Struthio camelus: one gene and its partners. The protein of the gene in region 1 interacts with the protein of each later gene in a pairwise test. Links are inferred from orthologs where the notes say so. Each region holds a gene or a part of one and is shown on either strand. Other genes may lie near its edges.

Region 1 (9,817 bases):
AATCTATTTCAACCATGATAACATAGCAGAGAGGAGCAGAAAACAATAATCAAATGTCTTGCTCTACAGTAGCATGTTGCTACTGTTTCAGAGCCCTACAGCTCAGTGCAAGATTGGCTCATTGTTCTTGTGATCAGGATCTACCACGTTGCTGAGGCTTGTTCTGCTCACACCGTGTGTTCCCACTGAACAGGAGTGACATTAAAAACTGACGTAGCTAAATCAACACCACCTGTCACATGAGACCACTGTGACATTTCTGTCATGAACACTACCTCCTAGTAGGAGATGAAGTGGGAAGCAGCAGCAGTTAGTGAATAATGGATTAGATATGCCTGACTTGTAACATTTACAAAGCACTTGGGTGTGTCTCCTAGCTACAGAACAAACTGGTTATCAGAATGGTAACTAAAAGTTCTGTGTTGCCCAAATTGCAAAAACTGAGATAAAGCAGTGTGGCGCATGCAGTTACGGTTTGCTGAACTCTGCTGTGCTGCCCGGAAGGTTGTCCCTCCAAAGTAGATTCTGGATCAGCAAAAGCGTGCATTAGTAAATAAAAGGTGTACCGTAGATGAGAACTGGTGTAGCCAGTTGGCGGCCTGGGGCATGGCATGCCCGTGCTACGTACGGAGTGTGACTGCTGCTGCAGCCGCTGGCTTGCCCATGGCTGTTGATAGAGAACAGCATGCCTGGCAGCAGTGGAGTAGGTTGTGCAAACCAGATACGGGGTTTGTTTAAGTGGGTTGTGAGAAGCTGTAGGAAAGAACAGTGGAGGGGGCAGTGGATGAGGAGGCTGGAGGGGTCTGAAGGCAGTTGTACTATGGATGTGTATTTGCCTATCTTAGTGTGAAGCTGTGTCTGGCTGTCTCCCAGCTGAGCCCTGCTCGCTGACACAGGTTGGGAGCGTTGATTGTCGTGTGGGTCTTGTAGCAATCACAAAAAATCTAGTAACATCCTGAGCTGCAGAGGGTGATACTGAATTAGAACATGAATGTCTTGATAAGGAATGGAAATTAAGTTGAATATTGCATTCCCCTCAGTGACATCCAAAAACGTAAACTGGACAAAACCAGAAACCGAACAACAACTAAAGATACAAGGAGGCAGCATTGCAGTAGGCCATGAACAGCAGTGATTTCCTTTGCATCCTTCATCTCCACTTTCTCTGGACTCCATGTGGCAGAGAGATGCCCCCTGCCATTTTCACCTTGAGCAGCAGTTGTATCTGCTAATGCAACAATAGAACTGTCCAGAAGGATCTGACAAGGTTTCCTGTTTCGACAGCAAAAACCTGGGACTTCTTTCCTTAGCACGTAAAGTGACCGGATCTTCATCCTCCGAGCTTTCTTCCATTGAGAGGAGAGTAGTCGCTTAGCGGATTTGGTGTGGACGGAAGGAAGGGAAAGAAAGGAACTTTGTCAATCCATGACGTGAAATATTTTGTATTAGGAGATTTGGCAAATAGTTCTGTGTGACTGCAAACAGGATGAGATAAATTTCCCAAGGTCAGCTCTCCTGTACACTTGGCTTTCGGGCTAGTCACTGAGAAGTCAATTCTGTAACCTTTACAGCAACATCCTGCCAGTGATGCAGACACTCAGCTATTGTTGGCTTCAACAGCAACTCTTCTGCATCTTCAAAGGACAGGAGGCTGAATAACGTACGTGCTGCATGGTGAGAACTTGAGAGCAGGAAAGTGGGCTTGAAAAATCAATTCTTAATAAAAATAAGGCAGCCTGAGGGGGATCCCAACAAGAACCTTTTCCTCCCTAACTTTTTCCAGGAAACGCTTTTCGCCTAGGGAATTGGAACCTGTTCTTAGGAAAGGGCAATGTTCTCTAGTGAATGAAGCAGAAGGGGGGAATGCTGAGCGCTTAGCTCTCCCTTCTGGCTTGCTATGTGGCTTTGGGTCACTGAACTGTTTCTCAGCTATTTTGTTCTTAAAACAGGATCACTACTGATGTACCTTTCTAACAAGTTAACTGCTGTAACGCTCCTTTTGGGTGCAAAGCTTTGTGTTCCTTGAATCTTCCTGGACGGACCAGTTAGTATCGTGCTCTAAGTTCTTTTGTATAGCCATAAAATAGGCTAAAAAAAACCCCAAGCACAGACCTCTGCTTGTGTGTTTGTTTCCAGTATATGTTTCGTGAGAAAAAGAGAGATCGCATTTTCAAGACAGCAACCTTTGAGTAAACTCAGATCCTCAGAGATCTGGAAGCCATTCTGAGTTCTCTCTTCACACGTAGTTGTCAATAGAGAGATGTGACTGAGCTCCAATGGCAGTGTGCAGACTGTTGGGTTCAGTGCATCTGCACTGCTGTGGACAGCAGGCCCTGGAGGTAAGATTTCGTGGGGAATTGTATTAGTGCCTAAAAGAAACAGAAATCAGCTCAGTCTGTCTCAGCTTTAACTCAAAGCAGGGGAAAACAGTGAATACAGCGATAAAGCAGCCTGTTTTGACCTTTTCAATAGGTGGAGGACAAGACGACTGACCCATTTTACAAAGCCACCTCCCATACTCAAAATGCATGCCAGCTCACTCATGCAAAGGTGGCTCCTTCTATAGGGATGTTACTGGCTGAGGTGGGCTTCCAAGGACGTGCAACTCCTAGCAGCGTCCTAGCAGAACATCCTTGACCTGAGGTCTTGCAAAGTTACATTTGCAAATGTACGCTTTTCCAGTATGAAATTATTGACACAAAGAGGAAAAAGAAGTTAAATGTCAGAAAAGAGTATCATCTCAAAGTTCCTTTTTCTTTCCTAGCATTTGTTACGTATGATTCATTTAAGCAAATAGCTGCTTGAAAAGAATAAAATAGCCTTATATTTTGTGGGGTCAAATAGGTAAATACCTTCTATTTCAAGGCTCCCTGTATTTATTTTCTTAGGAGGGCTCAGAAATGAACCAAAAAGTCCTCAAGTCTCACAGGTCATAGCAGACACTTATCACTGCTTAGTTACAAGTTGTTTCAAATAAAACATCAAACATTTATGGAAGATAAAGGGAGAAAGCAGTGTAAATATTGTTGAAGAAGGATGTAGTATTTAATGCATCAAACTGATGACTCCAGGACACTTTTTCAAGTCAGAAATTAGCAGAGAGCATGTAGCGCAGCTAATAAAATGAGTAAACAGGTGCTGGCTGCCCACAGTGCAGCCCACATTGCTACTGTTGGTTTATCTGATTGCAAACTTAGTGTACTGTAGCAAGATGAATATGTAGCAGTGACGGTTTGGGAAAGATGCTGGAAAGATTGCACACTGATGTTCTTAATCAGTAATTAGAAACTAAAAATAGTATTTTAGTGAAAGATAATAAATCTGTAGCCTTTAATCCTTCTGTGCCAATCTGTAAGCTGATATCATTATTATCTGAAAGGCAATGAGAACATAAGTGAGTAAGCAAGAGTAGGTTGCTATTACAGACACGTTATAAATTCCACATAGCCCAAGCTGTCTAGATGATGTTTGGCTGTATCTGCTGTATGCAAAGTGAATAGTCTTAGGGCAGGTTCATCTGCAAACACAGAATGCATACTTTTATTGGGTATTTCCATGTCTCAGTTGTCCTTATGGACCTGATCGCTTTTTGTCATAATTCTTCAGGAAATAAGTTCTGAGTCCCCTCTGCACTTGGGAGTAGAAGCATTCATTTGAGAAAATGAGCTGAGCGCGAGAACAGGCATGTGGGGAAAGAGGTCCCGGGATGGCAGTGCTGACACACGAGCAGGCTCACTCAACAGCTACCGTGCTGTGCAGATGCACGTTTGCTCTTGCTACAATAATCACAGAGAAAGCGTCCCCAGTTAAACAGGACCTTTCATCTACACACTTAAATACTATGCACCTACTGAGATGTAAGTTATTAACTGTGTTGGTACCTGTGTAAGAATAGTGTTTAAATACTAAACTAAAAAAAAAAACTGAAAAAAATAAATTATTTAAAGTAACTTAGTAGAACCCACCAGCCGTAACCCATCCACCTGAGAAACCTCAACCCATTTCAGAGCGTGAACCACCCCAAACTAGACACAATTGGGTAATATCCCCTGTTAATGGCTTCGCTCAGCCACAAAGTGCAGATGGGAACGAAGGAGAAAAAGCCATCAAAGGCTGGATCCCACTGGAGAAAGACAACCAGAAGTTTTGAACGTGTATTTGGACCGGGTTCTGGGATAGCACGAGGAGCAGGACGCGGCAGGCACTACCGTCTGCCGGGGCTCTGCAACGCGAGTCTCCGGGCGAATTCCTCCTTCCCCAAAGGCTGTAATGGGAGAAAGAGGGAAAGCGATGCAAAGCTGCCAGTAAGACGTCAGCGTGTGGGGAGAAGGGCCCCGCTTTCCAGGCGGGCTTCAGGCCAGCAGGGACGGCGAGCTCTTTCAGCAAGCCTCGACTGCCCCACGTTCCCCTCGCTTGATGCCAGCGAGGCCGAAACGTCTCCGCTGGCAGCCGCCGCTCCCAAACGTTTATCCCCGATGCGAGCTGCGGCAGAGGCGTTTCACAGCAGGCCAAAAGACCGCAGCCGCTTGTTGCCTTCGGTTCCCCCCGCAGGCGCCGGGGCCGGAGGCGCCAACGGCCCTGGCCGGAACCGGCTGGAACCGGCCGCCGCCGCCGCCCCTCGCCTCAGGGCCGCCCGCGCGCGGCGGCAGGTGGATGGCGCCGTCCCGTCCCGTCCGCTGCGCGGCTCCGCGCCGCCTCTTGCCGCCGCCCCGCTCCGCTCCGCTCCCAGCTGACGGGGGCAGCCCCTTGTTTACTGGCCGCGGAGGCAGCCGCCAGCCCGGCCTGCGCTGGAGCCGGAGCTGGAGCTGGAGCTGGAGCGGCCGGGGCCGGGGCCGCGGGGCAGGGAGGGGCCCGCCGCCCCGCTTCCTGGGGCCGCCGGCCGGGCGCTATAAAGGCGGCGGCGGTGCTGCGCAGCGCAGCGCGGGGCTCTTCCCGACGATGCGGAGCCGGAGCCGGGCCCGGCCCCCGCGCCCGCCCCGCCGCCTCTGATTCGCCCCTGCCGGGACGCGCCGAGCCGAGCAGCGGCGGCGGCTGCAGCTCCAGCGACGCGGGCATGGGACCGAGAGCGGCGGCGGCGGCGCTGGCCGTGGCCGTGGTGCTGGCGGCCTGCTGCGGCCGGAGCCGGGCGGAGAGTGAGTAGGGGGCGGCGGCGGCGGCGCGGCCTAGGCGGGCGGCGGGGCGCTGCAGGTGGCGCGGCGGGGCGCCGGGCGCCGTGAGGCGGCAGGGAGGGAGGGAGGGAGAGCGGGCGGGCGCCGCGGGCCCGGCCCTGCCGCTTCCCCCCCCCCCCCCCAACCCTTCCCGCCGCCGTTTTACCCTTTGTACCGGCCGGGGAGCGGCCAGGCCGCGCCGCGGGGCCGTGGCGGCCAGCCGGGGCCTGCGGGGCCGCCCGCGGGGGGGGGGGGGGCGCCTCGGGTCACCTTCACCCCTCGGCTTTGCCTTGTGGGCCCCGAGGTGCCGAGCGGGGGGCTGCTCCAGCCCCCTCCCCGGGCTGGCCGTTCTGCCGTGATGTTTGTTACTGCTCCGGCGTGTTCTGGAGGCTCCGGCTGACTCGGGCTTTGAAAGCGCGTCTCGGATGCGGCGCTGGGGGGGATAATGGTGCCGTCTGCGCCCGGGGGGGGGCTGCCCGGAGCGGGGGTCTCGCCCCCCGCCGTGCTCCCCTGCCGCTGCCCCTTTCGGGCTGCTCTCAAAACGAGCTCTCCTCGCAGAAGCCTTTTTAGCGTGCCGAGGCGTCGCCTTAGGAGCTTGTGTCCTTAACCGCACAAATACTCCTAGGTAGGCTTTCAAATCCGCAGGTATTAGAGGGGGCTGGAGCTTGGTGGTAGGGATCTGCGCGCAAGCCAAGTCTCGCGAAGTACAAAACAGGGGTGTAAAAACGCGTGTTGGAGGTGGCAGGCTTGTGAGCTTCGTGGCTGACGTGAGTTGAGACTAGCCTTGTGAGCTGTTCCGATGGGTTCTCTTGAATAAACTTGCCTAAGGAATTGTTCTAGTTGGACGTTTCTCTTTTGAATTTTGGGGGACGTTCACAGAGTTCTTTTTTATTATTGCTAATTTTTTTTTAGTAAAAGGAAAATATTTGTTTAAATAGGACCGGACACTGAAGTTGTCTATCCCATAGCTGCTACCTGGGAGCTTTCCCACTGGCAAAGGCAATAGCAGGCAGGTAGGCTAGAGCCTGGACGTTGCAACGGTGGAGTCTTTTGAGAGGTGTGTAATGGTGAGGGAATAAAGCAGGACCTACCTTTCAGACAGCCTTTCTTCTTCTTCTTTTTGCCAGCGAGCTGGCAAAATTATGCATTTAAAAAATATGCAATTTCTTCTTCATGTATGCCTTCATGTTAGAAGACTTGAAAAAGACCAGTGATAAGTTTTTAACCTAGGAGGTTAAGCTGTAGCTGGCAAGCATGTACAAACCTGCCCATCTCCAGCAGAAAAATGTAAAAGATAATTGGCATATAGCATTGATAATAAATAACTATAAAATAACTTTAGTCCAGTGGCTCTGAATTTGAAAACACTACCACTACTACATTCAGTCTTCTCTTATCCTGTTCTGCTATTTGGGTTGTAAGTATGTTTATGATCATAGCTGCCCAATCTTTGCTGCATTACTGTGTGGTAGGAGAGTATGCTTTACAATTCATCGATGGAGAAACGGGAGCGATGCACAAGATGGCAAAGCCTGTAGCAAAGCCTGGGATGGAGTGTTTTTATATTGTTCATGTAGCGCGAATACTTTTCGAAGTATTTTACAGACTGTTTGGAATGTGAGGTCCCTAATTCAAAAGATTTTCAGCTTCTTGGCTTTCATTTTCTACTCCGTTTTTCTGAGAATGGTTAGACCATACTGGACTACAATGCGGATCGAAAACAGCACGCTAACATGAAGGCCTACATCAGAGTGGCTTGAAGGGTAAACGCATGTACAATAGTTGCATAAGCAAACAAGTTGTTCCCTGAGCAACGGAACTAATGAAGTCTGCTTTCTTGGAGATTTGTGTCCTGCGTTCTGCACAAACATGCACCCTGATAATGCCACTCTCCAGTGACAATATTCCCCTGGTCTCTAACCATAGCATTTCCTGTGCCTTCTTCCTCCCTTTGCTTCTTCGAGACCGTGCTGTAGTTCCCCTCGTGTCCCGTAAGAGGCTGGGCAAAAGCAGCAGGTAGTACAAAAGGTTTTGAGCTGTGCGTGCAGATGGGACAGTAGACAAGCTGGATGGGTGGTTGGAGTTCACCCTTCAAGCTTTTTCTTAATGGAGTTGTTGAATTTTTCCTCCTTTCCCATCCCTAGTTTTCTTGAGTCTTTTAGGAACATGATGTAGGCGAAAACTTTCCTTTCCCGTTAGACTGAAATTAGTTGGTGTGTTCAGAAGCTACTGAGAGGAGCAGGAGCACGGTTAAGAGAATGAGAGCTGACGTGCGTGCAACGTGAAGATGCACATATCTTGCTTTGTGGAGAAAAACGGCTTTTTTGTTTTTTACCGCTGTGTAAACACAATGCAACTTCATGCAATAACTCTCACCTATGACTCATGCATGTCATTCATTAGCTGTGATATTTAGAGTGGGGTTTACCTCACCTAGTTTTAGGCATCTGCCAATCGAGCAAGTTATTTTGGCCTCCTTTTGTAGCTGTAGAGACCTAATCAATATAGTCGGGGGTATTTAGAGGCAATTCCTCCTCTCCTAAACCATTTGCTTACCTTTGGTCGCTGTACTTGTTCTCCGGTGACTATTGATGACAGTGGGAGTTAGGCATTTAGCTGAGATGTAGGTACCTAAATTAGGGACACATTGGGACAAATTCCACTTCTTACTCTTGTGGTAATGTTCTTTTAAAATAATCTACTTCTAAATTATGCTTCCTGTCTCATACTTTTTTTTTTTTTTTGGTGCTCATGAACTCCTTAAGAAACTGTGGCCCTTTTCCCGTCTCAACTAGTTATTAATTTTTAATGACGAGAGACTCAGCCTAGAGTGAAATTGCTCCCAAGAGTTTAAAGTAGAAAGAATAACTGCAACAGGGCAGGGCTGTGTCAAACCTAGGCAACCGTTTTGTCTGTCGGCTGTCCCCGCGTGCCCTCTGGATGTTCTAGAGACAGGTAGTCCGTTAACTGTCACTGAAGAGTTTGTACATAGTTTGTAACTTCGTTAGTTTGTGAAACCCATAAGCTTTCTGGAGGTCAATTTTGGGATGACCGTCTCGTGGAATATGAGTCATGTTGATATTGGCAACATATCAAATCTGTTCCTGCTCCCTTTGCAGTAAGCAGGATCTTACGGTCTGTTAGTACTGACTTTGCACGCTCCCCTAACTGATCTCCCGTGGTCCAGGGATGCTCTCGCTTCACTGCCTTTTATCTTTGCGTGAAAAACATAGCAGCAGAAATCTTATTTTTTCCATTACTGTTTTTTGATTTTTAACAGGAAGAGCAGGATGGTATAGTAAACTAGGTTTGAGGCAAAGGCACAGAATTCAGTGGGGCTTTATAGGCTTGGTGAGGTTATATATGCTTTTGGCGTTAAAGAAAGCAGTCTCCACGACAGGTTTGCCCTCGGTTCAGCGCTGATCTCTTGACTAGTGGGAAGATCTCGGCCATCTGAGATGTTATCTGGGCAGACCAGAGGCTTATAAACAGACTCGCTTTTAAATGCATATCTGAATTTACTCGGATCTAGATGGCTGAGGTGGAAAATTAAAGTTTAAAAATGAACTTTTCACAATTAGATATTTTTCTATTTACTAAACTATTGTTCCAGTAGGTTGGAAACTGCCTTACTGTCCCTTCTGCTGACCTGTCACTTAACTGGATGTTATCCTGTCTCTGTAGTTATCCCCCGAAACACTTGAAAGCCCTTTTTCCAATTGCCTACTATCACTTCTTATCGTTATAAAGAACTACAAAGCTTTTGATGTGATCAAAGTGAGTGTCGCTTTTCTTCAATAATTCATTTATTCAAATAGGCAGTGAGCACTTTAAAAACGTTGAATTAACTGACAGTTATCTTAAATGGTTTGTCATCTTTGTGCGGATGCTACAGTATCCTGCTCTTGATTGTTAAAGAGCCAGAGCTCTGAAGCAGTGAACCATTAAGGTTTAGTATCCAAACAGTTTACTATAAACAAGGCTTAAGTTCCAGATATTCCCCTGCTTAGACTATATCTTGAAAAGTAACCTCTGACATCAGCTCTAGTTTCTTCATTCGGTACTTAAACTAGTTTGGTAACAACCTTAATTCAAGAGGCTTGGCTGCTTGGGATTTTTGTTTGTTTTTAAAAAGCATGTCTTGCAACTTTTTTCTTGGGGGTCTGATGAAACATGTCTGTAAAGACATTTTTTTTTGTAAGTTGCTTGGAATCGCTCAGTAAGGAGGGATGTAGCGGTTCCTCTCCGACAGCGTAACGCTGTGCTCCTGCACGCGGAGCCTGCTCCTGGTGAAGTTGAGTGGGGTTTGAACAGGAGTAGTTTGGGGCTTACTGCTAGGGAATCGAGCTGAGATTTTTCTTTTCCTGAAAGCTGTTTTCTGTGTGTTTGGAAACAGGTAGTCTTGCTTATAACTTACTGACTTCTCAACTGTGGTCCCTCTCTTCTGGACCAAACCTGACCAGCCTTCATACTGACTTGTTGAATAATTCCCCGGTCCCTGCGGAAGAAGCACTGTGGAGAGAAGCTGTGGAAAAACGCTTATTGCTTTGCTTAAAACTGCTTTTTGTTGTCTTGGTAACAGTATATTTATGGGGTGACTTTAGCAGCTACTGCATGAATAGAAGATGCAAACTGCTGAAGAGAATTCAAAAGCAGGAAACGACTGAGAT
Region 2 (9,617 bases), on another chromosome or scaffold:
GATTAACAAGAAGAGGGTTCCTCTGACAGACAATATGTTGATAGAGGAACATTTAGGTGAGGAGGAAGATGAGAAAAATAAAGTGAATCAAGGAAAGAGGGGAATATTGAGGGTTTGCAATCTGATGCGAGAGGGAAGGGAGGAGGAAGAAAAATGTTACAGGATAGGCATGTATGTGGAGGACTGAGGATTCTGGGGTGGTGTGCTGAAAGATACCACAATTAAGCATCCCTTTTGTGTGTGTGGCTTTTTTACAATTGTTTTTTACCTGCAGGAGACTGTGGTATTATTTGCCTGGAAGATCTTATTCATGAAATCTACTCAGCTGGGAAATATTTTCAAAAAGTCACAGACTTTCTGTGGCCGTTCCATCTGTCAGTGGCTCGCCATGCTGCACATAATAAAGTGGGTTTCCTCAAGGAAATGGGCAAACCTGGCTGCAGAGGTGAAGGAATCAACCAGCTTATACGTCAGCTGAACTGATGAGGTGAGGAACACCTGTAGGGTAACTTCTAAATCTTACCCTTTATCTGGTTTCCTAAGAGTAGCTCTACTGCCATCGGAGATGAGAAGGACTCCTTTGTTTTTGATTCTTCCTTGTACAAAAGTGACTGTCCAAGGCAGAGGAAACTTAAGTACTTGTAGGGAAATGAGAATGGCTGTCAATGTGAAGATTGTGGGGCCTGTCAGGCGTTGGCAAATACTACTGGACTTCTTAAAGGCCTGACTTAAGGGAGGCTGTTTTAAATTGACTGTTAAACTTTTTTTTTTTGGTCTCGTGTTCTGCAGGGTCTTTGTGAAAACTTTAGGATTTATGAGCTGTTCCTTGTCAAATGTAGTTTTCATGGACATCTGGCTCTGTGCTATGAAATATTACAACCCTCTCCTGACTGTTGCTGGCTTTTTACTAAAGTGTGTTATGGTGGCCTATGTTGAGGAAGAAGAAAAGGTGCATTTGGTGCAACAAAGAGGTGACTTGAACTTTCTGGAGCAAGCCCATTTCTGTGTGTCAACAAAACACATTTTTTAGATGCTTTACTACAGTTTTGTATCCGCCACCTCCTGCCCCTAACTTTGGCAACAAGCATGGGTTGTCATGTATTGTTTTAAACTTCTTTGGCAGTTTATTTGCATTGTTACTGCTTTGATCCAGTTCTCCTTAAGTGCTTGAAACTGCACTTGCTGATGAAGTGCACTTCTCAGGTATACGCAGGTATTACAGTCACCTGCTTACAATTATTTTCTCTTCCTGTCAGCAAAATAGTACTCGCTGTATTCCTCAGTTACTGCAGCACAAGCACTGGTGGGGAAAAATATAACAGCATTTCTGGAAGTACATGAATCATACTTATTTTAGAAGCCATGATTCTGTGCTGTTAACTTAGCCCAACCTGAAAGACATCCTTTAGTATGTCAAGACTGCTGGAGATCAACTGTTCTCCAGTAGGAAAGCCCATCAACTCTACAGCCATGTTATAGAATATATAAGATCAGTGATTTTTAAATAAATTTAAAAAAACTTTTGAAAGACTCTTACGTTGTATGACTTATGACCTGGGCCAATAAATGCAACTCTCTAGGTTCTGGAACAATGCCATCTGTTGTTATAAACTATTTATACTTTAAATGAGTTTGCTGCTATAAAAGTGAATATTAAGAAGTACCTACTATGATCTGGAGTATATAGACCATCTAACATATGGAGCAACAAACTTTGAAATAAAGAACACTTGAAAACTGGCACAACTTTATTCTGTAAAGACACAAATACGAACATAGATATTTGACAGACACTGAAGAAATAGGTACACACCAATCTGGAACAAGATCCTCAAAAACTACATAGTCGAGAAGAGTCATTAATATACATGACTTTGCACATTTGATTTTTCTGATAAACAGCTGCTTTCAATGGTTAGGAGGTACAAGTAACTTTTATACATAGAATTTTTCTGTTGATTAGTTTTAGGATTGTTTATAGTAACAACAACCTAGACTTTTACCATGAAAAGCTGGTATGCTAAGAGCAGGGTTTTTAAATACCAAAAGAGAGACTTGAAGAGTGCTAATGGAACTCTATATTTTAATCTTAAGATCCTGTAACTTAAGCTCTTAAGACCGTTCCAGCAACTGATCCTGCCTTTAGGCAGCGTCTCTAGCTGATTCAGCATAGCCTAACACACCATTGACTGTTAAGCATAAGTAGTTTCTAACGATAGTTAAATCCTGTATATACCTCCTGAAAAGGATGACGGTTTAGACTAGTGTGACATCACAGTATCTGTAATCATAGAAGAATGCTTTGTCTTCTTTCTGTATTACACTTAGTCTCAGCCACAGTAACAGGATTCTGTTGATTACTTAGTTTGTTCACAGTGCAGCTCCACAAGACAGGATACCGATGACAAAAAGTACATCTTAAGGAAATGAATCCTTCTTGTAAGCTACCATACTATTCACTTTGTGGATTGTGGTAGTGAAGGAGCGAAGACGAACCTCTTCTGAATTGGCTATGAACTGTGGCCCTGACTCTTCCCACTTTTCTGGCACTGCCAAGTCTTTATCTGTGTAAATCAGCAAGTCAAAGGCACCTATAAGCAGAGGGGAAAAGTTAATAGTAAAACATGCGTAAAACTCAGCTTGTTTGAAGATTAAGTGCCTCTTCTAGAAGATGAGACTTTAGTAGAAGTTTAAGGTATTACGGTGATGCTAGTTATGTGAAGGAAGCATGTTTAAAAATGGAAAGTCCTGGCTACAATCAGATTAGTAGACAGTTTTCTATTTAAACAAAGGTTTGAATTTAACATCTCTTCAAAAAAAAATACTGGGTTAAAGCAGCTGAGTTCTTCATAGTAGTTGCTTCAGATAGATTCTGTGCTTTGTGTTCATAAAAGTCTATTCACAGCTGTTGTCATACAGAATTATATAGAGTACCAAGTATACTTGCTGGTTTCATTAAGCCAGTTAAACCACCTTGAGTTCTGTCGTTTTGACAAAAGAAGTTTTATAAGTGTTTCAGGGCAGAACGTACCACTAGTCCCTTCAAATGAAGTTGCTTTAAGTTCTTCAATGAGAACAGCATTTACCTTAATGATTTTTACTGTTTGTTGTAGAATAAGCAGTACGGAATAATTCTTTAAGATGAAATACTTGATTTGACATACCTTTTCAGTTTTATGCACAGTTGCAGGAGATGTGATCTGTTTAACAAACTTCAATCTCATGTCAGATATGGTACAGTGTGTGACATTTCATGTCATAATAAAAAAAACTAAGAAGGTAAACAAAAAGGTTTTCTAAAATAGAAAAGTTGTGCAGGTTTTTTCTGCAAGAAGTGCTTGATTTCTGTAGTGAAGTCAGGAATACTCACAGGCAGTTTCCAACAAAGGCAGGAAAGTTACTGTAGCAGTTATTTGTCTGATAACAGATCGAATTTCATCCTGAATAGCTTTCTGAGATTTTTCTCGGGGTACACTAGAAGAAGAAAAAAAGCTTTGTTAGGGAAGGAGTCTTCTGCCACACTAGCAGCTTTCATTAAATACAGTGTTATATTATGCTGCCATTGGTTTGTTTGCTATATGGCTAGCTTTGCGTAGCAAGGACATTCATTTCCGTCTTAGGTAAACAGGCTTAGAAAATTCTGTGAAGCTTCACAGTACTTGTAAGGAAAGCCAGATGCTGTTATCTTCAGTGTGGAGTGAATGAGAAAGTATTTTGGCAGAACAATAGGAAAGCAAAACTAGCTCTCTAAGGGCATGCAATTTTATGTTTTGTTGAAGATTAAAAAAAAAATCACATTTTTTATCTGATACTGTTTTTACAGCACACAAGGATTATGTATGCTGCAGTACTACAACAACTGCTTTAGAGAGGAACAAAAGGAATAGCAGCAGGCTAGGTAATAGGTTTGAAGAGAAATCTTCCCTACTCATATTGGGAAGGGCAATCTTGGTTGCACTGTGTTTCCAGAGCAGGCGCAGAGGAACACGGGTACTCACCTCTCATCCTTTGCAGCTTTATCACACTCTATGTCAAACTGCCACCTCTCAAGAACCTCGTTGTTTTCGATACTTGAGATTACCACCACCAGCCGTTGCACAATGCACTTGTACAACCACTCTGAAAGAAGCCACAGCAGTTACTCACAGCATGAGCAAGAGGATAGGCAGAAATCCAGCAAGGAGGCCTGAGCAGCCTTTTGCCCCGGCACCCCCCGCCCTCCACCAGCACCTTTCATCTGCTCCACCACGTTGTTGAGGTAGTTCTTCAGCTCGGGGTCGGTGGTGACCAGGAGGGTGAGCCCGTACTTCTGGACGCGGGTGAAGGTCTCGGGCGGGTAGATGCCCCGCTGGTAGAGGATGCTGTTGATCCCGTAGGCTGCAACACACGGCGGGAGGTCGGGGCAGGGTGAGGCAGGGGGTGGGGGGGGAAGAGGGGGAACGGGGCCAGGCCGCCCCGACCGCCATGGCGGCCCGAAGGCCGGCGGGGAGCAGCCCCCTGCGCCCCCCCGCACGCCCGCGCCCCCCCCGCAGCCGCTTACAGAAGAACTCGGCGACGATCTCGGCGCTGCCCCGCAGGGTGATGCCCTGCTGCTCCCGGCCGAGCTGCTTGGCCATCGCGGCCCCGGGCCCAACCGCCTCCTCCCCGCCGCCCGGTTTGAAATCAAGCCCCGCCCTTGCCCCAACGCCTCTTCCTCTGTCGTCAGCCCGCTCTGGCGCACGCGCGCTAGCCAGGCCGCGCCGGCCCCGCCCCTCCGCGCACGTGCGCCGGCCGTTGGGCTGCCGTTGGCGCTAGTGGGCGTGCGCGCGGCGGGGCGGGGCGGGCAGCCGTTAGGGGGTGGGCGGCTCGCGCCGCGTTCGGGGCCGGTTGTGAGGTGGTTGGGCGGCTGCATCTGCCTTCGCCTCTGGGAGCGGGGGTACGTGCGCCGCCTGCCTGGCCAGAGCGCGTCTCTTGGTGGGGAAGCGGGGTTGCTTTTCCGTGACCAGCCGAATGAAAACGGTGATTGGGCGCAGGTGGGGCAGCTACCTGGGGGGGAGGGGGGGAAAAAAAAAAGTTAAATGTGCCTTTGCCACGGGTGTGTGGGCTGAGGGAGGCACAGCCTGCGGGCGGAGCGTGGCTTTTCACAGAAGCGTGCTTGGAAGTTCAGTGTCAAGAATTCAGGTGCGTTTGCCTGTATGAAGGCACTTTTGAACACAGAAACGATATTCTGTTCTGCGATTCTCGCCGGTAAACCAAGCTGTAGCGTGAATGAAGTGAAGCAGGTATCTAATTGCTTCTGGACGATTTTTATGCAAGCGTTGTCAGAAGACAGGCAGGAAGAACCTAAGTAAGGGGAACAAAAAAAGGCGATTTCTCTGTAAGTCCATAGGATAATGGGAAACGCACAAAGTAAGCACTTAAAAATAAGCACTTAGAAAGATAGGGGACCCACAAAGTCATCTCTCTGGACATACAACCCCCCCCCCCCCCATCAGACTATCTCGTAGGGAAATTGCCAGTTAGTCAAAGCACTTAAATCCTGTTATTACAGGGACAGCAAGGAAGAAAACCCTGCAGCTAGTCGTGATTATCGCAGGGAGGAAACACTGCCACAGGTTAACAGGTAAGAGAGACGAAGTGAAACAGCAAGTACATCTTAAGTGTTGGGATATTTAAATAGTATCTCGAAGAGAAGAAGCCATAGTTTACTGGGATAATAGCTAGGTGGCCAGTAATGAGCCAACTGATACATCAACAGCCAAGGAAGCACTAAGTGAAAGGTGAATGCATATGTTAGGCACAGAAGAGCTGCAAATAAAATGCTTCCCTGAATTTTATTTTTCTGAAATGTCTGAAAAGAATACATGTCATTATGTACAACATACCTATTTTAGATGCCCTTGTTAGCCTTGAAAGAATCTAATCAGAGCAGCCTTAAAATAAAATGACAAAAGTAAAGGTAAAATATTTTAAACACAGAATAAAAACTGTATGATCATTACACAGTGCAGTGGCCAACTGCTAAAAGAGTGACTTGATAATGAGATTGCTTATTTTGCTGTAGTAAAATGCTTCTCAAAAAAACTAAATCAGCAAAGAATTTTTGTTGGAACTAAATTTTGCACTACGAAGTACCATTTGCTTCAAGGTTCATGCTGCTGAGATTAAAGCAAATAGTATGGTCTGGAAACCATGTGTTGAACTTCTGAAAGTGTCTAAATAATCTTGTAGTTATCCTAGAGAACTTTATAATGGGTCATGATCACTGATGATTGTGTTATGCATTAGTTTTCTGAAAAAAATGTTTTCTGATTGAGTGTGGTATACTTCAAATTCTATGTTATGAAAGCACTGTTAATCTTGAAACTGGATTGCTGTGAATATCAGCTATTTTCTTTTAAACCTTTAAGTGCTATCATGCTTTTCTTCCTCTGTCCCAAAATGGTATCAGGACTGTTGTTTTCCCACGTGGCTTTTCATCTGTTTTGTTTTCTCTGAGGGTTTTGGAGGGCTGCTCATTTTTTTGAAAAAAAGGGCTTGAAAGTGCTGTTGCATGAGGCCAGGCAAGTGTATTAGAGCTTATGATCATGATTTACACATTTATCCTTCAGCTGGTTTAAAACAGTTAAAATGGAAGAAAAAGAAAAAAACAAATGCCTCTGGAAGCAAAATTCAGCTAAGTATAGCTCTAGTAGATTCCTAAGAGTCTTCCGGAGCAATAATGAATTCATTTACCACAGATTCATTTCACTGTATTTCAGCTGGATGGTTTGAAGATCTGTTGTTGATACGACTGTCCTGATATGTTTGTCAACAGCAGACTTAAATTGCATCTTACGTATTTCTCTCAACATTCGTTTGGGAGGTAATGAGAGACAGGAGTGATCCCTGATACCTCTGTTAAAGTTCTAAGCTGCATTCGGTGAACCTGGCACGTGATATTTCACAGTGTTTTGCAACGCTTCTTTATTCCTGATTCTCTATTTCTCTATTGCAGTTTACAGTGGCTTGCATCTCGTGATGTGCTCCCCTACCCCCAAAAGCCCCTTTGCTTTGTGCAGTTCGCATTTCTCTGTCTCTTTAGAGGAATGCATTCCCCTTTTACAGTACTTGTCACTGTTTTGCTTTAAATTTCTCCTATATACGGAAATGTAATCTAATGATAAAAACTATGTGTGTTTAATACTGCTGAATTTCTTTTGTAATGCAAAGATCCTAACATTTCTCTTTGTTTTTTAGCAGGTATTATTTTTCAGTGGCCAATTCATTAGTTCTGAAAAGTGCAATCTTTTTAGTCCATGAAGTAGCATCTTTCTTTTTCTTACTCCTTGTGTTTCTTTTGTTAGAATGTTCTTCTTCACATTTTTTTTCTTTCTCGTGTCATCCAGATGTTCCTGTCCTTTCCCCCCCTCACCCCAATAATTCACTTGCATGAAGGTTTAGTTATTTGACAGTGTGTGTTTGTTGTTTTTCCTTCAAGTTCTCCCATTATCTCATCTTTGTTTCCCCATTACAAGTCCCAAGCTTCACAACACCTGACTTCATTTTCTTCACTTTGTTTAGGTCACTGTCACTCAGCTTTTCTGCCAGGTCAAGCCAATATCCCCTAATAGAGGCACTCCAGGAGCTTGCACTCATCTGTCATGTAATTAGATCTGCAGCCATCACTTGACCATAGCCCGATGGCCCCATCAGAGCACTGTTGTATGATGGGGACCCATGTACATAAAGTCCTTTTGTCATGTTACTGAATGGGCATGCTCCGTGCAATGATTATGCCTATAGGATGTGTTTAGGGCATGTCCAGCTACATGACGAATGGCAGGCTATGGGGCTCTAAAGGAGAGCAGCAGGGAGACTGCTGTGGGTTAGTGAATGATTTGTGTGGCTGACAGCCTGCTTCCTGACCAGCTCTGAGGGACTCTCAGGAATGAAGATGACAAGCTGAGTTATATGTTTTGGCACATCATGAGTTGGCTATCCTTGCTTTAATTATCTCACGCTGAAATCTTAATTTTCATAAGGAATGTGAAGTCCCAGTTGTATTGAATTTAGTTCTCTTATGATTCTTCAGTCATTACTCTCCTTCTCAATTACAGCTTCATGTTCTGACAGATTTTTTTTGTTTTTAATTCATGTTGTGGAAGGAAACGTCCCCTGTTTAGCTTGGCTTTTTTGTAACACTTAACAATTGCTTTCCCATGGCAATTGTCAATGAATCTGTTACCGTCCAAATCACTGGTACTGCTTCACTTTTTTCAAGGTAACTGAGGTCATGCTCCCATAGTCGTTTGGTGATAAAGCTTTGAGTTGTTGAGATGTGTGTTTCTTTCTTTTTTTTTTTTTTTTTAAACCTCAGGATAACAGTGACAGGCCCCTCCTTTCAGTGTAGTAAAACAGACTGTAAAATGAAAGTTTTCTTTGCTACGAAAGTCATCTTATCACATTAACGAGGTGCCATGTTAAGCCTCAGTAAATTCAGTTTTTCCTGAGCAGAGAAAGGAGGTTTTACCCTGGCTAAGAGAGCCCTAGTGCTTATCCTTTTCTAGTAGATCTCAATCTCTTTAGAGCCATTTCTTCCTGCACTTGAAGGAGGAGATCCTTTACTTAGGAGCCCATAGAAATAGCTCACCCTTTTGCCTTCTTCCCTCCTATTTTTTCTGTGTCCCTTTGATTCTCCTTAGGGTTTTAGAGTGCTGCCCATTGCTGTAGTTGGCAGCTCTCAAAATTCATGGCAGGTGTTGAGCTCCTTCTTGTTCTGTAGGTTAGACTTTTTGCTCCCTTCCTTCCTCAGCCCAGCTTGCAGTATTTGTTGGTCACATGCCCAATGCTGTCTTTTCCCCTCAGTGAGCTGAGACAGTTCTCAGTCGACTGAGCTTCCATTTTCTTGGTGAAATTGCTGTTTGGTTCTTTGTGCTGTAGGAGGGAGTGTTTGTTTGGGTGGTTCCCAGGAGAAGCTTTTCTTGGACACAGGGTAGGCCACCAGTACAGCCAAACACCACCACTATTCCCATATGTACAAGATATTTTTAAATCTTCTAAATCTTTAAATCACTTCTGCCATGTGTGAGATTTTTTGCTCCCTTCCATTGTGTCTTCACAGCTTTCATCCAGGATTTCTTTGGTGATTTATTGTTATCTGGAATTAACTGTAAAATTAATGTAAAACACTGCACTTTTTGACAGGCATTTTATTACCAGGCTCATTTTGTTTCCATTCTTTTTTTTTTATTTTATTTTGTTTTGTTGATCAGGTTTGTTTTTAATGACTGTCTTTGTAGCATTAAACTTTACAGGATAAGTACAGGTGCTTTGCTATCAACTGTCACAATAACTATAGCATTTTTTGTCAAGCTCTTTATTTTTAAAGCATAAGCCATGAGATATTAATATAAGTAACAATACTGTATTCCTTCACCAACAGTTTTACATCTGTATAGCTGAACTATGTCATCAAAAATAAGTATGATAATGGGAGTAATGAGGGAGTAAGAAGGAGCTTTAATTAACCAGAGAGATTTGTTTCTGTCAGACAGACTCTGTTATCTTCCTTCTATGATGTTTTTTCAGTACTGAAGGGGTGGTGCGACTGGGGAAGATTGTATTGAATGTTAAATATTCATTAAAAAGAAATTGAC
Region 3 (9,876 bases), on another chromosome or scaffold:
GGCTGCTGGTGCCCCCCGCCAGCACCAGCTGGGCCGCCTTCAGCCGCGAGAGGGTGCCGTGGAACCAGGGGTACTCGGAGAGCGGGTGCTCGGGGTCCCCCTCGCCCGCCTCCGCCTCCGCCTGGAAGAGGAAGGAGCCTGCCGAGGGCACGGAGAGCATCAGAGAGACCAAGGCGGAAAGAGGGAGCCCTAAAAACCACCCTACAGAGCCCCAGCGCCGACCCCGACACCCCAAACCCTCCCCAAACACCCCCAATGCCAGCCCCGACACCCCAAACCCTCCCCAAACACCCCCAATGCCAGCCCTGACACCCCAAACCCTGCCCAGACACCCCCAGCACCAACCCCGACATCCCAAATCCTTCGCCAGACCCCCAGTGCCAACCCCGACACCCCAAACCCTCCCCAAACACCCCCAGCGCCGACCCCGACACCCCAAACCCTCCTGCAGAGCCCCAGCACTGACCTTGACACCCCAAACCCTCCCCAAACACCCCCAGCGCCAACCCCGACATCCCAAATCCTTCGCCAGACCCCCAGTGCCAACCCCGACATCCCAAATCCTTCGCCAGACCCCCAGTGCCAACCCCGATGCCCCAAACCCTCCCCAAGACCCCCAGCACTGACCCCGACACCCCAAACCCTCCCCAGACCCCCAGCACCAACCCCGACACCCCAAACCCTCCCCGAGACCCCCAGCGCGGTGCCCCGTCCCCCCGCACCTGCGCCGTCGGGGGTGTCGGGGAAGGGGGTGTGCAGCAGCCCGGGGGGGAAGGGGGCCTGGAGCCGCTCGGCCGCCTCCTCGATGGGGATCCGGGGGGGCAGCTCCGGCGGCAGCATCTCCATGGAGTCGAAGTGGGAGGCGGCGATGGAGACGGAGCTGGGCGACACGGAGGCCGAGGGGCGCTCGGAGAGCCCGCCGTAGGCGCCTGGGGGCGGCGGGGAGGCCGTCAGAGCCGGCCGGGGGCGCCGGGCCGGGGCGCAGGGCGCCGGGACTCACCCTGCGCCAGGTGCTCGCTGCTCTCGCCGGGCAGCAGGGGCAGCTCCCGGCTGGGCACGCTCTCCGAGTGGTTCAGGCACGGGGCGGCCGGGCTCTCCGCCTCCTCCCTGCGGGACACGGGCCGGAGGGGGGGACGAGCGCTCGTGGCCCCGTCCCCGGGGCGAGGGGACAGGGTTGGGGGGGGGGGACCCGCGCCAGCGCTGCCGAGGGCGGGGAGGGGGCAGCAGAGGGAAGAGAGGCGAGTGCGGGCGAAAGGGGCCGCCGGGATGGGGGGCAAAGGAGGCGGCCCGGGGCGCGGAGGGGGGGCACGCGGGGCTCACCCCGGGCTCATGCAGTCCTGGATGTCGGCCAGCCACGACTTCATCTGCAGCGAGTCGACCGTCTCCAGGATGTACTCGAGCGAGTTCTCCATCTGGCGGAGCGCGAGGAGGAGGAGGAGGAAGGGGGGGGGTCAGCGCTTGCTGCCACCGCGGCCCCCCTCGCCTCACCCCCCCCCCGCCGCCACCGGCACCTTCAGGACGAACGTGTTCTCCTTGTCGGGCATCTCCAGCGGCGTGGTGGTGCGCACGGCCGTCACCGCCGAGCACAGGATGCTGACGCGAGCCTTGGTGGCCTGTTGGGGACGGGGCGAGGTGACGGGGGACGCCAGGGGCTCCGGTTCCCCTCGCCTCCGCGTCCCCGAGCCCTTCCCCGTCGCTCCTCGGGGACGGCGGAGAGCGGATCCCGGCGCTGCCCCCCTCCGCCGCCGCCCGAGCCCACCTTCGGCGGGACGTAAAACTCCAGGGCGTAGCCGTCCCCGTCGCCTTTCCCGGCCTTCCTGAGCAGCAGGCGGCACCGCTGCCAGCGGGCACGGCCCCCCGCGCCCGCCCCGGGCCCGCCGTCGTCCGCCACGATGAAGTTGAGCAGGCCCTCGCGCCGGACGCTGCAGGGCTCGGCCCGGGCGCCGGGGGCTCGGCCGAGGCGCAGGCGCTCCAAGCGCTGGGCCCAGCGCTCGCCGGCGGCCGGGGCGGCATCGCCGGCGCCGCCGGACGAGTTGGAGTTGGTGTTGGCGCCGGCGGCGGGCGGCTCGCGGCCGGCGGCCGGCGGCTCGGCCGCGCCGCGCCACTGCAGGATGCCGCGGACGCTGCGGCCCACGCTGCGCAGGGAGAAGCGCTTGCGCAGCTTGGCCTTGGAGCCGGCGGCGGCGGCGGCCACGTCCTCGGAGCTGCGCGACTGGCCCCCCGGCAGCCCCGGGGCGGCGACGGCGGCGGCGGCGGGCTCCAGCGGCGAGGCCACCGACGACTCGCTGCAGGTCTCCGAGACGTCCCGGGGGCGGTGGGCGCCCGTGAAGGGGGCGATGGCGCAGCGGGGCGGCGAGGCGTCCCCGCCGGCGCAGGCTCGCGTCACCTCGGCCTCGAAGTGCTCCACGAAGTGCTCGGCGAAGCGGCGGGAGAAGGCGGCTTCGGCCCCCGGCGCCCCGAACTGCGGGTTGTCGCTGACGAAGGCCCGGAAGCGGCGGGCGAAGTCCCGGGCGGCCGCGCGAGCGTGGGTCTCGCAGAAGTCCCGCCAGCCCGGGGGAGCCGGCGGGCAGGGCGGGGGCGTCCCCCCCCCGCCGCCGCCGCCGGCCCCCGCGCTGCCGTTCATGCCGCCGGCGGCCCCGGGGGGCCCGGGCGCCCCCGCGTCCCGCGGCCCCAACGCGCTGCGGACGCCGCTGCTGCCCCGGCGGCCGCGCTCGTCCTCACCTGCGGAGACAGAGACGGGGCGGTCGGCCCGGGACCGCCGGAGCTTCCTCCTCCTCCTCCTCCTCCCGCTGGCACCGCTCCGGGCTCTCCGGGAGCCGTTCCCGGCCTCCCAAAGTCCCTCAATCTCCCCCCCAGAGCCCTCATCCTCTACCCAGCACCCCATAAGGATGGCCCTGACCCCCTGGAGCCCCCGGATCTGCCCCCCAGACCCTTCATCCTCCATCCAGGACCCCGCAGGACCACCCCGATCCTCTATGCTCTGCCCAGGACCCCATAAGGACGTCCCTGACTCCCCAAATCTGCCCCCCAGACCCTTCCTGTCCTTTCGTGACCCTGCAGGGCAGCTCTTGGCCCCGCACAAATCCCCACATCTACCCCACAGGCCCCTCTGGGACCCACACAGCCATCTCAGACCCCCCCCAGACCCCACATCTGCCCCACAGGCCTCTCACAGACCCCCTACAGCCATCTCAGACCCCCCACAGACCCCACATCTGCCCCACAGGCCCCTTGGGGACCCCACACAGCCACCCCTGGCCCCCCACAGACCCCACATCTGCCCCACAGGCCTCTCACAGACCCCCTACAGCCATCTCAGACCCCCCACAGACCCCACATCTGCCCCACAGGCCCCTCGGGGATCCCATACAGCCACCCCTGGCCCCCACAGCCCCCACATCTGCCCCCCCAGGCCCCTCGGGGACCCCACACAGCCATCTCAGACCCCCCACAGACCGCACATCTGCCCCACAGGCCTCTCTGGGACCCCACACAGCCACTCTCAGCCCCCCACAAACCCCACATCTTCCCCGCAGGCCCCTCGGGGACCCCCCACAGCCCCCACATCTGCCCCCCCAGGCCCCCCGGGACCCCCCACAGTCATCTCAGACCCCCCCCAGACCCCACATCTTCCCCGCAGGCCCCTCGGGGACCCCCCACAGCCCCCACATCTGCCCCTCAGGCCCCCCCGGGACCCCCCACAGCCACCCCCGGCCCCCCGGCTCGGCCCCCCAGACCCCTCTGGGTCCCCCGCAGGGCCGCCCCCGGCCCCCCCGGCCCCGGTGCTGACCATGGCGGCCCCGCCCCGCCCCGGCTCCGCGTCGCTGGTCCCGAGTGCGAACGGGGCGGGGGGGAGGGGCGGGGGCGGCCCGACCCAACCTCCCCCCCACACACCCGGCGGCTTCCGCTTCCGGGTCTCGCCGCTCTTCCGCTTCCGCCTCCCGAGGTGGCGCGGGGGGGTCGGAGCGCCCCCAAGTGACCGTGGGGAGGGGGCAGCACTGACCGGAGCGGCCGCCCCGGGAGCATCGAGGTGGGGCAAGTCGGTGCAGAGCGTCCCCCCTCCTTCTTCGCCGGAGCGTAGAGAGGGCGAGGAGACCAGAGCGCCCCCTCCCCCCCCTCCCCCGGCTGCTCACCATAGAGACGGGATGGCGGCGCCTCTTGCTCCCGCTGATCATAGAGCAGAAGGCTGAGGGTAACTAGAGCGGCTCTAGGAGAACCATAAAGCTGAGAAGACGGAGGCAGGCAGAGGGCCCCCAGAGAGCCATAGAGAGCCAGTTCGGCTTCTTCCACGCCTAGACTGTCTCAGCCGCCCGCTGCCACCATAGAGAGGCGAGGCTATCGAGCCCCCGCTCCGTACTAACGTAAACACCATAGAGCCAGCGCGTGGAGGACTAGAGCGTCGCCCTGCGTGAGACGTAAACTCTAGCGCGGAGCGGCGGGCGGGGCCAGAGCGCCCCCCCCACCCCGAGCGCTGGGGGTCGCCATGGAGACCCCGGTCACCCCACCGCGCGGGGGGGGACGACGACATACAACACCCTCTCTTCCCGCCGGTACCTGAGAGGCGACAGTCGCCGGGGGGGGAAAGGGGGGGCGGCGGGGTTGAGGCAGGAGCCGGGACTCGTTCCCGCGCCCCCCCCCCGCTGTGATGCGGCCGGCGGAGGGATCTCACTGGAGGCGCCCGTGTCCTCACGTGCCCCTCCGCCCCCCCCAACCCGGCCGCGAGGAGAGGCGACGCACTGCGCATGCGCCCCACCCCCCCACCCCCTTCGGCGCGCGCATGCGCGGCCGCCGGATTTTGCGGGTTGGGGGGGAAGGCAGGCGGGTAGCCTCGGCCGCGCATGCGCAGCGCGGAGGGGGCGGGAGCGGCGCCCTTTGTGGCGGCGGCGCGCATGCGCGGCGGGAGGGGAGGGGGGACTACTTTTTTTTTTTTTTTTTTTTCCCTGCCGGCGGAGGAAACGCGCGTGGAGCGAAGCCGGTGCTGGAAGGGGGGGGGGCGTTTCCTCCGCCGTCACGTGAGCAAAAAGCGAAAGAGGCCGGGGAAGGGTTATTATTAAAAAAAAAGAAAAAGAGGGAAAAGCCGGCGCGGCGCGCATGCGCGGTGTCTCCCCGCCCATTGTGCGGAGGGACACAGGGCGCGAGGGGAGGCGCGCGCGCTGCGGCCGCCGGCGCCCCGGCCCCCCCTCCCCTCCCCTCCCCTCCCCGGTCGGCTCCGCCGCGCCCGGCTCCGCGCGCGCCGCCGCCGCCGCCACCCGCCGCCGCCACCCGCCGCCGCCGCCCCGCGCGCGCCCCCGGGCGGGGGGGGAGGGAGACGCCGCGCCGCCGCCGCCGCCGCCGCCATGTTGAAGCAGCCGCAGCCGCTGCCCCCGCAGCCCCCCGCCGCCGCCGCGGCGCCGCCGCCCGCCGCCCGCAAGGCCCCGCCGCCGCCGCCGCCGCCTCCCCCCGCCGCCGCCGCCGCCGCCGCCAGCCCTAACGGCAGCCTCAGCCCCGGCGGCGGAGCGGCCCGCGGCGGCGCGGCGGGGGGGGGGGGAGGCGCCGGAGGAAGCGGCGGCACCAGGTAACATCCGGGTCCTGCCGGGCCGGGAAAGGGGGGGGTTGGAGGGGGGGGTTGGAGGGGTTGGGAGGGGGGAAAGGAGGGAGCCCGGCGCTGATTGGCCGGCGGCGCGGCCAATCAGGGCGGGGGGAAGGGGCACGTGGGGGGGTGGACGCCCCCGCCCCCCCCCCCCCGCCGCGGCCTCCCCCAAGGGGGTGGAAGGGGCCCAGGTGTCCGGTGGGCCACAAGTGCCAGTGTGCCCCCCCCCCATCAGGGGGACCAGGGACCCAGGTGTCCGGGCCCCCCCCCATCAGGGGGACCCCGGTGTCCGGGCCCCCCCCATCAGGGAGACCAGGGACCCAGGTGTCCGGGCCCCCCCCCATCAGGGAGACCAAGGACCCAGGTGTCCAGGACTCCCCCCCCATCAGTGGCACCCAGGTATCCAGACCCCCCCATCAGTGGGACCAGGGGCCTAGCTGTCTGCCCCCCCCATCAGAGGGACCCAGGTGTCCGGGCCCCCCCATCAGTGGGACCCAGGTGTCCGGGCCCCCCCATCACTGGGACCAGGGACCCAGGTGTCCGGGCCCCCCCATCACTGGGACCAGGGACCCAAGTGTCCGGGCTCCGCCCGCGCCGCGGTCCCGGAGGCTGCACCCCCCCGGCCCCACTGGGCTGCGGGGACCCGGCACATCCCTCATTTGCGTTTCAGGGGCCAGAGCACGGGGAAGGGGCCCCCCCAGGCGCCGGTAAGTGACCAGCGAGCTCGGGGCGGGGGGGGGCGGCGGCGGCGCGGGGGCCGCTGGTTTGGGGGAGCCCCTCACCCCTCCGCCCCCCTCCCCGCAGGTCTTCGAGGGCGTCTACAACAACTCCCGCATGCTGCACTTCCTGACGGCCGTGGTGGTGAGTCCGCGGGGCGGCTCCGGCGCTGGGGGGGGCGGTCCCGGCGCTGGGGGGGGCAGCTGCGGTGCTGGGGGGCGCCCGGGCCGGGCCGCGGTCCATCGCCTCCCCCTCTCCCGCCCAGGGCTCCACCTGCGACGTCAAGGTGAAGAACGGCAGCACCTTCGAGGGCATCTTCAAGACGCTGAGCTCCAAGGTGAGTGCGGGCAGCGGCGGCCCCGGCCTCGGGCTGACGCCCCCGGCCCCGCCGTGACGCCCGCCCGTCCGTCCGTCCGTCCCCGCAGTTCGAGCTGGCGGTGGACGCCGTGCACCGGCGCAACCCCGACCAGCCCTCCGGCCCCAAGCGCGAGGACATCGTGGACACCATGGTCTTCAAACCCGCCGACGTCATGCTGGTGCACTTCCGCAACGTGGACTTCAACTACGCCACGAAAGGTGCGCGGGGAGGGGGCGGTAGAGCCGCGTTGGGGGGGGGGGGGGGCGGGCGACGGCCAGGCCTCACCCCCGCCCCCCCTGCAGACAAGTTCACCGACTCGGCCATCGCCATGAACTCGAAGGTGAACGGGGAGCACAAGGAGAAGGTGCTGCAGCGCTGGGAGGGGGGCGACAGCAACAGCGACGACTACGACCTGGATTCGGACATGGTGAGGGGCCGGGGCGGGGGCCGGGGCGGGGGCGGCGAGCGGCGCGGGCGGCCTCTGAGCCCTCTCCTCCCGCAGTCCAACGGCTGGGACCCCAACGAGATGTTCAAGTTCAACGAGGAGACCTACGGCGTGAAGACCACCTACGACAGCAGCCTCTCCTCCTACACGTGAGCGCGCCGGCAGGGCCGGGGCGGGGGGAGCAGGGGGTCCGGCCGCCGCCGCGGGGAGCCCCTGGCCGGGCTGACGCCGCGCGGGCCCCCCCCCGCAGGGTGCCGCTGGAGAAGGACAACTCGGAGGAGTTTCGGCAGCGGGAGGCCCGGGCGGCCCAGCTGGCGCGGGAGATCGAGTCGAGCCCGCAGTACCGGCTCCGCATCGCCATGGAGAACGACGACGGGCGCACGGAGGAGGAGAAGCACAGCTCGGTGCAGCGCCAGGGCTCCGGCCGCGACAGCCCCAGCCTGGCCGCCGCCAGGTCGGCCCCCCCGGCCCCTCCGAGCGCCCCCCGGCCCCTCCGAGCGCCCCCAGCCCCTCTGAGCGCCCCTCGCCTCTCTCCGCAGGGAGAGCAAGTACAACCCGCTGCCGCAGCGCGTGCGGGACGGGTCGCGCGGCGGCGTGCGCTGCGGCTCCTCCCGCGGCGGGCGGCCCGGGGTGGGCTCCCTCCCGCCTCGGGGCGCCCCCCACCACGCCGAACCCGGCCCGGAGCAACGCGGCATCAACGGAGGTGAGAGCGGGACGCGGGGCCGGCGCCGGGGCGGGCCGGGGGCTCGGCCGCCCCCCCCTCCTCACCCCGCTGCGCCCCCGCCAGGGCCGTCCCGCATGTCTCCGAAGTCGCAGCGCCCCATCCGGGGAGCCAAGACGGCGTCGTCTCCGGGCGGGCGCCCCGCCGAGGCCTCCCCGGCGCCGCCGGCAGGTGGGGAAGGGCCGGGGGGGCGGCGGTGGCGGCGGGGGGGCAACCGCCAGCTCCCCCCCCCCGCTCACCCCCGCCCCTCTCCCGGCAGCAGGGCGCATGTACCCGCCGCGCTCCCCCAAGGCGGCCGTGCCCGCCCCGGCCTCCCCCCAGGACCCGCCGGCAGCCGGGCCCGCCGCCCCGGGGGAGGCGCGGACGGCGCTGGAGCCTGCGGCACCCCCCAACCCGCCGTCCCCCAAGGCCGCGGCCCCCCCGGCCGACGGCAAGGACCGCGGCGGTGCCCCCCCTTTTGCGCCCCCCGCCAAGGAGGCACCGGCGGCCAAGGACGCCGGCCGAGCCCTGGAGGCCCCGGGACCCCCGGAGCCCCCCAAGGCGCCCGGCAAAGGTGAGCGGCCCCGGGCCGGGGTGGGGTGGGGGGCAGCTGCCGGGGCGGCCCCCCCACCTCACCCCGCGCTCTCCCCGCAGCCGGGCTGCAGACGGAGCAGCAGCGGAGCCAGCTGGAGGAGCTGCGCAAGTTCGGCGCCCAGTTCAAGGTGAGGCCGCGGGGAGGAGGAGGGGGGCGGCCGCGGGGCGGCCGTGGGGCTCACGCTGCCCTCCGCCCGCAGCTCCAGCCCAGCAGCGCCCCGGACGCCGGCCTGGAGCCCTTCCCGCCTCGGGCCAAGGAGCCGCCCGAGGGCAAAGGGAAGGAGAAGGGCGCCGAGGCGGCGGGCGGCAAGGCCCCCGAGGACGGCCCCGGCCCCAAGGGCGCCGCGGAGCCGCCGCCGGACGGCGGGAAGGAGGAGAAGGCGGGCGAGGGCGGCCCCGAGCGGCCCCCGGGCACCCCCCCGGGCAAGGGCGAGGGCGACGACAAGGAGGAGGGACCCGTCTCGGAGTGAGTGCTGGGCGGTGGCGCGGAGGGGCGGGGGGCGCCGGGGGGGTGGGGAGGGCCGCGGCTCACTGCTTGCCCCCTCCTCTTCCTCCGTCGCAGGCAGGTGAAGAAGTCGACGCTGAACCCCAACGCCAAGGAGTTCAACCCCTCCAAGACGCTGCTGGCGGTGGTGAGCGGCGGCGGGGGCGGCCGGGGGGGGCCGGGGGGAGGCGCGGGGCGGCCCCGCTCACCCCGCGCTCTCCCCGCAGAACAAGGCCGCCAGCACGCCCACCTCGCCGGGGCCGCGCACCCACTCCACCCCCTCCATCCCGGTGCTCGCCGCCGGGCAGAGCGGCATGTACAGCCCCCAGTACATCTCCTACATACCTCAGATCCACATGAGCCCCGCCGTGCAGGTGAGCCGGGGGGCGGCGGCGAGCCGGGGGGGCGGGGGGGACCCAGGCGTCCGGGCCGCCCCCCTGAGCTCTCCCTCCCCGCAGGCGCCCCAGATGTACCCCTACCCCGTCTCCAACTCGGTGCCCGGCCAACAGGGGAAGTACCGGGGGGCCAAAGGTGAGCGAACGCTGCCCCTGCCCGCCCGTGGCGCCGGCCCCACGTCGCCCGTGGGGCCGGGGCCGCCCTGAGCCTCCGTCCGTGTGTGTCCTCCCCCCAGCAGGGTCGCTCCCCCCGCAGCGCACGGACCAGCACCAGCCGGCATCGGCGCCCCCCATCATGCAGGCGGCGGCGGCGGCGGGGCCTCCGCTGGTGGCGGCCACCCCGTACTCCTCCTACATCTCCTACAACCCCCAGCAGTTCACGGGGCAGCCTGCCATGATGCAGCCCATGGCTCACTACCCCTCGCAGGTACAGGCGGACGGGGAGGGGAGCGGGTTGGAGATGCGGGACAGACGAGGGCGCGTGCGTGTGTGAGACAGGCAGGGAAGAGGGGCTGTGGCAGCGGGTGATACAGACAAGGGTGGTGTGCTACAGGCAAGCACATTGTCAACACACAGAACACAGTACAGGCGGAGGGGTGTGGTACAGCTGGATG

Evidence for each region. The genes of interacting proteins can lie anywhere in the genome.
Region 2: the proteins of INSR (region 1) and MAD2L1 interact in binary tests that used the Homo sapiens proteins (3 or more experiments, as listed by UniProt). The link is inferred for Struthio camelus from reciprocal best matches to the Homo sapiens genes INSR and MAD2L1.
Region 3: the proteins of INSR (region 1) and SH2B1 interact in binary tests that used the Homo sapiens proteins (3 or more experiments, as listed by UniProt). The link is inferred for Struthio camelus from reciprocal best matches to the Homo sapiens genes INSR and SH2B1.

The regions. Positions count from the first base shown.
Region 1 is NC_090967.1:5,519,848-5,529,664, forward strand, and holds the start of INSR (insulin receptor), read left to right. Parts: upstream 1-4,982; 5' UTR 4,983-5,053; coding exon 5,054-5,132; intron 5,133-9,817. UniProt on the Homo sapiens protein: Receptor tyrosine kinase which mediates the pleiotropic actions of insulin.
Region 2 is NC_090945.1:20,326,004-20,335,620, reverse strand, and holds MAD2L1 (mitotic spindle assembly checkpoint protein MAD2A), read right to left. Parts: upstream 4,742-9,617; 5' UTR 4,617-4,741; coding exon 4,541-4,616; intron 4,378-4,540; coding exon 4,231-4,377; intron 4,120-4,230; coding exon 3,999-4,119; intron 3,475-3,998; coding exon 3,371-3,474; intron 2,592-3,370; coding exon 2,419-2,591; 3' UTR 1,736-2,418; downstream 1-1,735. Other genes in the region: RPL7L1 (ribosomal protein uL30-like), read left to right, coding at 1-56, 275-483. UniProt on the Homo sapiens protein: Component of the spindle-assembly checkpoint that prevents the onset of anaphase until all chromosomes are properly aligned at the metaphase plate.
Region 3 is NC_090973.1:100,395-110,270, forward strand, and holds the start of SH2B1 (SH2B adapter protein 1), read right to left. Parts: upstream 4,742-9,876; 5' UTR 4,555-4,741; exon of another isoform or gene 4,405-4,554; 5' UTR 4,134-4,404; exon of another isoform or gene 3,895-4,133; intron 3,893-3,894; exon of another isoform or gene 3,791-3,892; intron 2,722-3,790; 5' UTR 2,624-2,721; coding exon 1,760-2,623; intron 1,614-1,759; coding exon 1,512-1,613; intron 1,413-1,511; coding exon 1,321-1,412; intron 1,108-1,320; coding exon 1,001-1,107; intron 930-1,000; coding exon 723-929; intron 139-722; coding exon 1-138. Other genes in the region: ATXN2L (ataxin-2-like protein), read left to right, coding at 4,778-4,801, 5,412-5,554, 6,240-6,276, 6,374-6,430, 6,552-6,623, 6,712-6,862, 6,947-7,071, 7,147-7,238 and 10 more. UniProt on the Homo sapiens protein: Adapter protein for several members of the tyrosine kinase receptor family.